Arabidopsis thaliana: one gene and its partner. The protein of the gene in region 2 purifies or fractionates together with the protein of the main gene of each other region. This does not show direct contact. Each region holds a gene or a part of one and is shown on either strand. Other genes may lie near its edges.

Region 1 (5,221 bases), on a different chromosome or scaffold from region 2:
TTTCTAAATGAAACAGATTTATGTAGCAGCAGCTAGAGGTCTTATGCCTTCTCAAAACTCTTTTAAGGTGAAATTCCCTCTTCCTGACCCAAAAGACCCGTTTTCCTTAAAACCTGGTTCTATTCCTTGTACAATGCAAGAGAAGAAAGAACTTGATTCAAAGCAAGTTACCAGCCTCACAGCTGCAATCAAGCAAGTTACCAGCCTCACAGCTGCAATCGCCGGTGCAAAAGCAGCGGCGACACAATTTTCTAAGAAGGGACAAAGTCTCCAAACAAATAATATATTTGATTACACAACAAGAAGCAAGAGCAAAGTTATTGAAGATGAAGCAGCAGAATCCCTAGATAACCCGGTTCTTGGTTCTGGTGGAACGTCTGACCGTACTTATAGAACAAGAAGCAAGAACAGAGGCACACAGATGGGTGAAGAAGTATGTAGTGAAAGCAGCAACAGCAGCAGCAAAGTTGAATCTAGTCAAAGAAGTGCAGTCACAAAGAGTGAGGACAGGAATACAAGAATTGGTGAAAGAAGGTTTGATCCTGGATCTGCCCGGGTACGTTTATTATCTTACATTAAGCGATAATTACAACAATAATTGTTGACTTTGTTGTTGTCTGATTTTATTTCACATGTGGAATTATTTCAGATCATGGCCGCTGCAATTAGGAACTTGAAGCCACCTTCTTGATCTAATGCGTCAAGGTTGTACCATATTTTGCATTCTTTCTAAAACATGTTCATTTCAAAGTTTGAGAAGTTCGTTTTAGAGTTAGTTTATAGGTTTATTGTATACACATTCAATTTAACTTATATGAGAGAATAATCATGTGGACTAATAAATACACAGAGCAATGAGTTTTGAGTAGACTGTTTAGTCGAATTTTACTAAATTACTATATTTTGGTCAGATTTAGAAGAATGTTTATATTTTTGGGGGGTTTGTCCCACATCGGTAGTTTCAAAATATCAGTTGTGTATATATTTAGTCGAAAACGAAAACAAGTAACAATAGTCATTGGACAAAGTGAATGGGTCACATGGGCTTGTCTAAGTTCCGACCCAGGAAAGTCCCCGGGCCACTTTTCGCAGAGATGCGGCCTCGGTAACGAGAGAATCATGCGGTGGAGAGATTCTATAAGCTGAGACGCGTGTGTGGAGCTTCTGTTGTCTCTCCGTCGATGACATCATGGCCGTTCGATTCACGACAGTTATTCACTTGGTCCTCATCGGACTAACTGAACGGGGCTTATGTTCCAATGACAACAATTTTTTTCTTTTTGAGTAATCCCGGTTTACTCAACTTACTCAACCGTACCGGTGGAAGATTCCTTACAGTAATACTAAAGCTTTTGGCTTAGCTCATTTTGGTGATGATAACAGTAATATCATAAGTACATAATAAATAATTGAAACTTTTGTAAGTATCCTCATTTTTTCAGAAAGTAAATAATATCAAATGTATTGAGAAAACAATAAATGATCATTTTTTTATTTTAATTAGACTCAAAATTAAATAACTGGAAATTAAAAAACCAAATAAACTGAAAATTATTATCTAAAATACAGTAACTAAAAATTTGTCTTGTCGATAAGTCGGATAAAATTTATTCATATAAATATTTAGTCATATACAAGTAAAATAATACTACAAATAATACACAATCAGTCGATGTTATATACAATAAAATTATAGATTTATAAAGGAAAAAATTATCCGGCGATATATCTGATGTCAATCTCTAGTGGGTTAGCATTTTTATTGAAAAATTGTATTGCTTAGTTTTTTTATTGTTATATTGTTAGTGAATTAAAATGGTACTTTGGTATTTTCATATATAGACTTTTTGAAAATAAAATCTTAGATTTTTTCTAACAAGAGTTACCAAAAATATTTTGGAATTAAATGAGCCGGCGACATAGAAGAATAGAGAGGGTTAAATTGAAAATTCATAAAGTAGGAAAAAATTAGGGTTAGACTCGATCATTCATAGCTGCGACTATTCTCTGCTCTTTCTACATTTTCTCATTTTCTCTTGGGCTACTTTTCGACTACTAACAAATCCAACGATGAGGGGATTGGTGAACAAGCTCGTGTCCAGATCTCTCTCCATCTCCGGGAAATGGCAGAACCAACAGCTTCGTCGTCTCAACATCCACGAGTATCAGGTTCTTCTTCTCTTCATTTCCATTTGATAGTTGCCTAGATTCGCTTTTGTCAAGTCAGAATTCGAGTACGATCTGTGTCTTTGTCTGTTGTTTCTGTGTTGATCCACTGATTGATTTGTGGTTGATAGAATTCTCTGGGTTTAGGATAATGTAAAGTTTGTATTGTGATTCTGATACAACCAGGGAGCTGAATTGATGGGGAAATATGGAGTTAATGTGCCGAAAGGAGTAGCTGCTTCTTCGTTGGAAGAAGTTAAAAAGGCTATTCAAGATGTTTTCCCTAATGAAAGCGAGGTAAATTCAGTGAGGGATTCGATTCTAATCTCTATTATTAGTTGTTGTCTAATTGAAAGAGTGTCATTTTCGTGTGATACAGTTGGTTGTTAAGAGCCAGATTTTGGCTGGTGGAAGAGGTCTTGGAACATTCAAGAGTGGTCTTAAGGGTGGTGTTCACATTGTTAAACGTGATGAGGCTGAAGAGATTGCTGGTATTGTACAGGATTTCTTGTTTGTGGCTTTCTGGAGTCTGTTTTTTGTTGTTGTTGTACAAGTTATTGATCTATTTCAAATCTTTATTACTTGTAGGAAAGATGCTAGGACAAGTACTTGTCACCAAGCAAACTGGTCCTCAAGGCAAAGTAGTTAGCAAGGTTTGTTATCTGTTATTCATGATTGGTGTTTTTTCTTCTATTATTGTCACTGCTCTTGCACCTTTGTTTATTCATTGTGTCTTCATTTTGAGCAGGTTTACTTGTGTGAGAAATTGTCACTCGTCAATGAGATGTACTTTTCCATTATTCTGGACCGTAAATCTGCTGGACCGGTATGCTACTACGCAAATGATGAGCTGCTGCTATTCATTTCCCTACTTCTAGGCATGCTGTTTTCATACCCTGCTGTAATATCTAAAACGCTTTCCTTTCCTATATCAGTTGATCATTGCCTGTAAAAAGGGTGGTACCAGTATTGAAGATCTTGCTGAGAAGTTCCCTGACATGATCATCAAGGTTGTTACTGTTTGATTCGTATTTGGTGGTCTGATCTCCAGTAAATATCATTCTGAGATTCTTTCTCATGCGGGTTTTTGACACCTCAAGTCATGGTTTTGCGTAGGTACCAATTGATGTATTTGCAGGAATCACTGATGAAGATGCTGCTAAGGTTGTGGATGGTCTGGCTCCCAAAGCTGCTGACAGAAAAGATTCGATTGAACAAGTGAAGAAGCTATACGAACTCTTCCGCAAGACTGACTGCACAATGTTGGAAGTGAGTTCTCTCTCACTGTCTTTTTTCTACACACTTCTTCAGTTATAAATATCTTTTGTTGAACCTCCAAATTTCTCTTGTAGATCAATCCCCTTGCGGAGACATCAACTAATCAATTGGTAGCTGCTGATGCCAAATTGAACTTCGATGATAATGCTGCGTTCCGACAAAAAGAGGTTTTCGCCATGCGTGATCCAACACAGGAGGATCCACGAGAGGTCTCTGTCTATCTCTTGTATCATCAAGAAAGCCATTGTTATGTTAATTCGATAGGATGTTAAAAGGAATAGTGTGTTGTGTCTCATAGGTGGCTGCTGCTAAAGTTGACCTGAACTACATCGGTTTAGATGGAGAGATTGGTTGCATGGTGAATGGTGCTGGATTGGCCATGGCAACCATGGACATCATTAAATTACACGGTGGAACACCCGCCAATTTCCTTGACGTTGGTGGAAATGCTTCTGAGCACCAGGTAAAAGGAACCTTCTTTCTTTCTTCACTTTTGGGAATCATTGGAATGAAAACCAATTTTAATAGAGGTTTGTGTCAAAAAATAAGGTGGTGGAAGCGTTTAAGATACTGACATCGGACGATAAAGTGAAAGCAATCTTGGTGAACATATTTGGTGGGATAATGAAATGTGATGTGATTGCTAGTGGAATCGTGAACGCTGCAAAAGAGGTGAGTGAGAAACAACCTTGTTACCATAATATTTCATATATTCATGATTGAAAATAAATCCGAGTGTTTGTGTGGAATGGCGAGGACAGGTCGCATTGAAAGTGCCAGTGGTGGTTCGTCTAGAAGGAACGAATGTTGAGCAGGGAAAGAGAATCCTCAAGGAAAGTGGAATGAAACTCATAACAGCTGATGATTTGGATGATGCAGCTGAGAAAGCGGTTAAAGCTTTAGCTCACTAATCTCTCTATATATACCAAAAGCCGGTTTGTTAATTGTTTTGTGGTTGACGCCCAATTTACACTTTCTTGCGGATATCATTTCCTCAAACAGATCAATAATGAACTGGTCTCCTTTTTTTGTGTGATCCATCCAAAGAGATTCAAATCAGAATTCTCAATATCTTTTTGTATTTAACCAACTCATATGGTTGATACTAGGGTTTCAAGTTTATCTCATACGTACTGTTCCTATCATGAATAAAAATCGTTTTTGTGGGAAGCCACACTATAGCTGTCACTGAAACAACAAAATTAATCCCTCTCTCTACAAAAGGCTTTCACAAAACAGAGCTGTCCTCTGTTTCCAATTTAACGGTCAAAACGATAAACTTATTTTTTGATAGAATGTTAATTATATTACCAAAAGGAAAGAAGATTATTTACAAAAACTTTTGACCAGGATTGCAGCTCCATTGTTGTAGTGATGCAGCTCTATTGCTGAGGGCTATGATGAAGAGGAAAATCACACTAACACTACTCAGCTCTTGTCCAAGAAGTTTTTATTCATATATAGGGTTTCTAGTAAAGTGAAAGATGCTGTTGATTTGTTCTGTAAGAATGCTCTTTTATATTTATGATCGACGTCAATGATGATCTATGTTCAAGTGATTTGGATGATAGCACCGAAAAATATTTGTCTAAATTCTCCTTGCATAGTTAATAATAGTACAAGAATGAACAAGAAAATCTAACAATTGGTGTGTTGTGTTCAATGAAAATTAGCCATTTGGAGCTAGCAGCAAAGTCTCTATATATGTCGTCTCTCCTTTCAAAAATCATCTCTATTGTCGAATTGAGGCATAGATCTCACAGAACCAGTCTCAGAC
Region 2 (4,678 bases):
TCACGGAAACTTGGAGCTTGCGGAAACAGTTGGAAAGAAGCTTATAGAGTTGCAACCACATAATGATGGACGATATGTCGGGCTAGCAAACGTTTATGCGATCAACAAGCAGTTTAGGGCAGCTCGGTCTATGAGAGAAGCAATGGAGAAGAAAGGAGTGAAGAAAATTGCAGGGCACAGTATACTTGATTTGGATGGAACACGACATAGATTCATCGCTCATGACAAAACACATTTTCACTCCGACAAGATCTATGCAGTGTTACAGCTGACTGGAGCTTGGATGAATCTCGATGTTGACTATGATGATCAAGACAATCATTGTTTTTGTTCTTGACAACCACCACAATGTTTGCATATATAGTTTCCTAGATAAAAGGTTTAGCTAAATTATGTTACGTGATCAAACTTCAAAGAGTTATAGAACAATTCTGATGGTTTGTGCAGTTGGCAATATAACCCAACTTTTAGTTCCAAAAACATTACAAGTTTCAGCTGTGTTCAGATAATTTACTACTCATTATTTGGGTGCTAGAAAAAGATATAATGTTGTGTAAAGAAACATTGCTTCACTCTTATTTCTTGTACTGGAAGATAACATTAAAAATAATCCAATGCCATAAGATTTGAATCTCTTTTAATTATCACTGTTCAATTGGAAAAATCATATCAATATAGCAAAACAAACCCCAAAAAAGTGTGCAGCCATCAATGGCGTGGAATTAGGGTTTTTTTCTTTTCTTTTTTCTTGAAGGTTTCAAGATGGAAAAAAAGAAGCGAAAGCTAGTGAAATTCACTTCACTGCTTCAAAAGACCTCTTTCTTGAAAGAGCTCATACATCGCTGATCCAATCTTAGCCGGAGATTCAACAACCTTCACTCCAGCATCATTCAAACTCTTAATTTTGTCCTGAGCCGTACCTTTACCACCGGAAACAATGGCTGCAACAAACAAAAACCAGAGGAGTGAGTGAGAGCAACAGACCAAAAATATTAAATCCGGTTTAGGCTTCAGATAGCTTATGAAAATACCTCCGGCATGACCCATTCGACGACCCGGTGGTGCAGTAAGTCCAGCAATAAAAGCAACAACAGGCTTCTCAGTACCACTTGCCTGTTTATATTCACCAAAACCCAAAATTTGAATTTTACTTTTAAGAATGAGAATAGAGAGAGATGGACCAAGATGAAAGAGATTCTCAGTGGTATTATTACCTTTATCAATGCTGCAGCATCTTCTTCTGCAGTGCCTCCGATTTCTCCAATGAGAACGATACCTGAATCAGCCAGTTGTTTCTTAGTTTTTAAATTTTAGCTACCAACTAAACTAAGAAAAGAGAGGAATCGAAGCCTTCTAAAACAAGAATTTCATAACCTAAAGAGATTAGGTAAGTATGTGGTCATTCTTCTACTAAATGATCTTTAAAGTTAATCTATCTAGAGGAAAAATAAAATTGGAAAACGGTGAAACAGAATTAAGATATGGCTAGATAACTCCAGTTTGAAAACCTTACCTTCTGTTTGAGGATCAACAAAGAATTTCTCCAAGCAGTCGACAAAGTTTGTCCCGTTAAAAGGATCCCCACCGATTCCTACACAAGTAGATTGGCCTAGACCCACTGCAGTTGTTTGGAAAACCTGCAGGAAAGTCAAAACCGAAACAATGTTTAGAAATCGTAAGAAATATAAGGCCTAATTCAAAATCTAGAACCAACAAAAACCTGTTTATATAAATTTTCAAAAGCTCCATAGTGTAACAAAAGAACCATGTTCAATCTAACCTTTGGAGGGATTTATACTAGAAAACAAAACTAATTTCGGAGATTTTTCCCAGGCTAAAGACTATGGTGAAATAAACTTGAGAGAGATGGATACAGAGAACAAGCATCAAGCATAAGAAAAAAAACTTACAGCTTCATATGTCAAGGTTCCAGATCGTGAGACAATTCCAATCTTCCCAGGCTTGTGGATGTATCCCGGCATAATTCCAATTTTGCATTCACCAGGCTTGATAATCCCAGGGCAGTTTGGACCAATCAGCCTAGTTTTCGATTGACTGTTAAGAGCATGCTTTACACGTACCTAAATCAGAAACATCACTCAAGTCAAAGAGAGAAGCACAAGAGATAATTATATCAGTATTCAATCCTATGTAATAAGCACTGAAGGAGATATAACAAACAAAATCAAAGGCATGGTGATAATAATAAGTACCATGTCATGTTGAGGGATTCCTTCGGTGATACACACAATAAGATCTAACTCAGCCTCAATACCCTCCATAATAGCAGCAGCAGCAAAAGGAGCAGGAACATAAATCACAGAGGCATTGGCTTTGGTGTCAGCCTTAGCTTCAGCAACAGAGTTGAAAACTGGGAGACCCAAGTGTTCTGTTCCACCCTTCTTCGGTGTCACTCCTGCCACCTATTATTACACAATAAAAACGCACACAACGTAAATTAGTAAAGCCACTTGCTTTAAAGCAATCTCTCATCTCCAGGATCTAATGGAATTTAGGTGATGAAAAAGCATATATATGTGTACTCATTGTCAAAATCACTAGAAAACCCCTAAACCAAATGTAATCGGAACAATGGAGAAATACCCAATTCGAAGAAGATAAAAAGAATCAGGATTTTACCATTTTGGTGCCGTACTCAATGGCTTGTTCAGTGTGGAAAGTGCCGTTCTTTCCGGTGATGCCTTGACAGAGGACTCGTGTGTTTTTGTCAACGAAAACCGCCGCAGGAGGATGAGGATCCGACGCGAAGGAGCGAGATTGGGTCAACGAAGTGAGAGACTGGCATGACGGAAAAACCTCTGAGCCGCCGGTAGAACAACGGCGAGCTTTTGATGACAGAGATCCGATAAGCCTTGCCACTTGTCTAGACATGATTGATTGGCTTCTTCTTCTCGGTGCTTTCGATCCGAATCAAGTTGTGAACCCTAAACTGTGTGAAGACGGAAATGGAGCAAAGAAAATTCAGCGGAGCTCGGTTTTGAAGAATCAGCTGAGATCAAAAGCCGACAAAAGAGGCTTCCTTTAAAGGCTACACTTTTCTCAATTTTAGCCCAAACCCATTTATTTCTAGATGATGGACTTTTTAGAATTTATTTCAATCATTCTGTCAACTAAAAATTATTTAAAATCTTTCTGGAATCTTTCTCAAACATTGAGCTCTTCAGAAAAATTATGAATAAACGTATTCTGTAAAATCTTTCAATAGTAAAAAGTTTCATTTTCGTATCCATCGTTGGTACTTGGTAGACAAATGGTGTCACATATACATAACCCAGGAAGATCAAAGATGCATATACATAAACCCAACGGCTTCCAAATTTCATTTCACTGAATCATGTTCGAAGCAAGTAGTTACATACATAAATGGAGAACAACCGAAACAGTAAGCAAAAACCAGAATCACAATCATCATCAAAGCATATATGAAATGAAACCAGTTCACGGGATATTTCAGCTGACCAGAATCACTAGACTCAATGGTTTTAACAAACTAGATAGTGTTGGGAAGCTCGATTAGTAACGGTATTTGGTGGAGTAATCTTTTGGAGCAATCACCAACCCACGACCCTTCCTTGCACCACGGTAGACAGTCTCAATGATATCAATGAACTCCTGCTTGTCCTTGAGAGCCCAGTTGATCTTGTTGTTGTTACCAGTTCCAAGATCGATCATGATGTGCTTGTTCCTGAAGAAGAACATGACCGTAGAAGGATCGTACAGCTCGTACATGGTGTTGAAGTCTGGAACCTCAGTGATGTCCACCAGATAAATGACTGCAAAGTTCTTAATCGTCTCAGCAACAGACGCAAGCACCTCATCCATCTACAAAAATCAAAAACTTCGAATCAAAACAGAAACCAGAAACTGAATACTAGAATCAATTGTAAGTGAAGCCCTAAAATTTTAATCAGTTCCAAGATAATAAAGATCACACGAATGGCTAAAGTTTCAAACAATCAACACAACATATCCGGAATATTCCAAGATCACCAAATTCGCAAGAACAAAACGAAGCATAAATCACAGAAATGGACACTAAAACGGACACATTCAAAACCTTCTACATAGTAACCAACTCCAACAACTAGGATTTTTTTGAGTGAAACCCTAATTTCATCAGTTCTGAGCTAAGGAACACAATTTTCAAACAATCACCACAAAGTATCGCAATTTTCCAGTACGAAAGGATCCAAATCGAGAGCTATGAACTACAAATCGAATCAAAAACATATAATCAAGCTCAAGATCGAAATATAAAGATAAGAGAGGAAGAAACGTTTGACAGACCTGCATACAGGTCTCATCCCAGTCATGGCCGAAACGAATGACGACGAGACGCTCTTCCTCGGCCAGAATCGACTGATCAACAGCCCAACCGGAGTGCAGATGTGGAAGAAGATACGACATTCTCTCTCTCTCTCTCTCTCTCGACGATTTTCCGATCTGTTTCGATTCAACCTTTTTTCTCTCTTGCCCTAATTTTATATTCTCTTCCCAATTTTGTTGACGGTGACGGCGCGTCGATTCCACGCGTGAACCGCATAAAGCGTTTGGGCTAAGCCCTTGATAATACTTACTTTCCGGCCCAATAAAAGATAAATCGACGAGATTGCGAAACAGACGGTGATTAAGGTAGTAGAACACCATAATCTGGTAT

The links. Proteins that work in one complex are often made in the same cells at the same time.
Region 1: the proteins of AT5G08300 (region 2) and AT2G20420 fractionate together in Arabidopsis thaliana (co-fractionation; one large-scale study listed by BioGRID). This does not show direct contact.

What each region holds. Positions count from the first base shown.
Region 1 is NC_003071.7:8,803,504-8,808,724, forward strand, and holds AT2G20420 (ATP citrate lyase (ACL) family protein), read left to right. Parts: upstream 1-1,838; 5' UTR 1,839-2,070; coding exon 2,071-2,169; intron 2,170-2,352; coding exon 2,353-2,463; intron 2,464-2,545; coding exon 2,546-2,657; intron 2,658-2,754; coding exon 2,755-2,819; intron 2,820-2,914; coding exon 2,915-2,992; intron 2,993-3,101; coding exon 3,102-3,176; intron 3,177-3,282; coding exon 3,283-3,435; intron 3,436-3,518; coding exon 3,519-3,653; intron 3,654-3,742; coding exon 3,743-3,907; intron 3,908-3,993; coding exon 3,994-4,116; intron 4,117-4,205; coding exon 4,206-4,355; 3' UTR 4,356-4,668; downstream 4,669-5,221. Other genes in the region: AT2G20410 (RNA-binding ASCH domain protein), read left to right, coding at 17-556, 650-691; RIC6 (ROP-interactive CRIB motif-containing protein 6), read right to left, coding at 5,164-5,221. UniProt on the Arabidopsis thaliana protein: Succinyl-CoA synthetase functions in the citric acid cycle (TCA), coupling the hydrolysis of succinyl-CoA to the synthesis of ATP and thus represents the only step of substrate-level phosphorylation in the TCA.
Region 2 is NC_003076.8:2,665,793-2,670,470, reverse strand, and holds AT5G08300 (Succinyl-CoA ligase, alpha subunit), read right to left. Parts: upstream 3,111-4,678; 5' UTR 2,893-3,110; coding exon 2,641-2,892; intron 2,424-2,640; coding exon 2,214-2,423; intron 2,082-2,213; coding exon 1,911-2,081; intron 1,638-1,910; coding exon 1,514-1,637; intron 1,277-1,513; coding exon 1,215-1,276; intron 1,114-1,214; coding exon 1,032-1,113; intron 942-1,031; coding exon 799-941; 3' UTR 548-798; downstream 1-547. Other genes in the region: AT5G08305 (Pentatricopeptide repeat (PPR) superfamily protein), read left to right, coding at 1-337; YLS8 (mRNA splicing factor, thioredoxin-like U5 snRNP), read right to left, coding at 3,535-3,843, 4,309-4,428. UniProt on the Arabidopsis thaliana protein: Succinyl-CoA synthetase functions in the citric acid cycle (TCA), coupling the hydrolysis of succinyl-CoA to the synthesis of ATP and thus represents the only step of substrate-level phosphorylation in the TCA.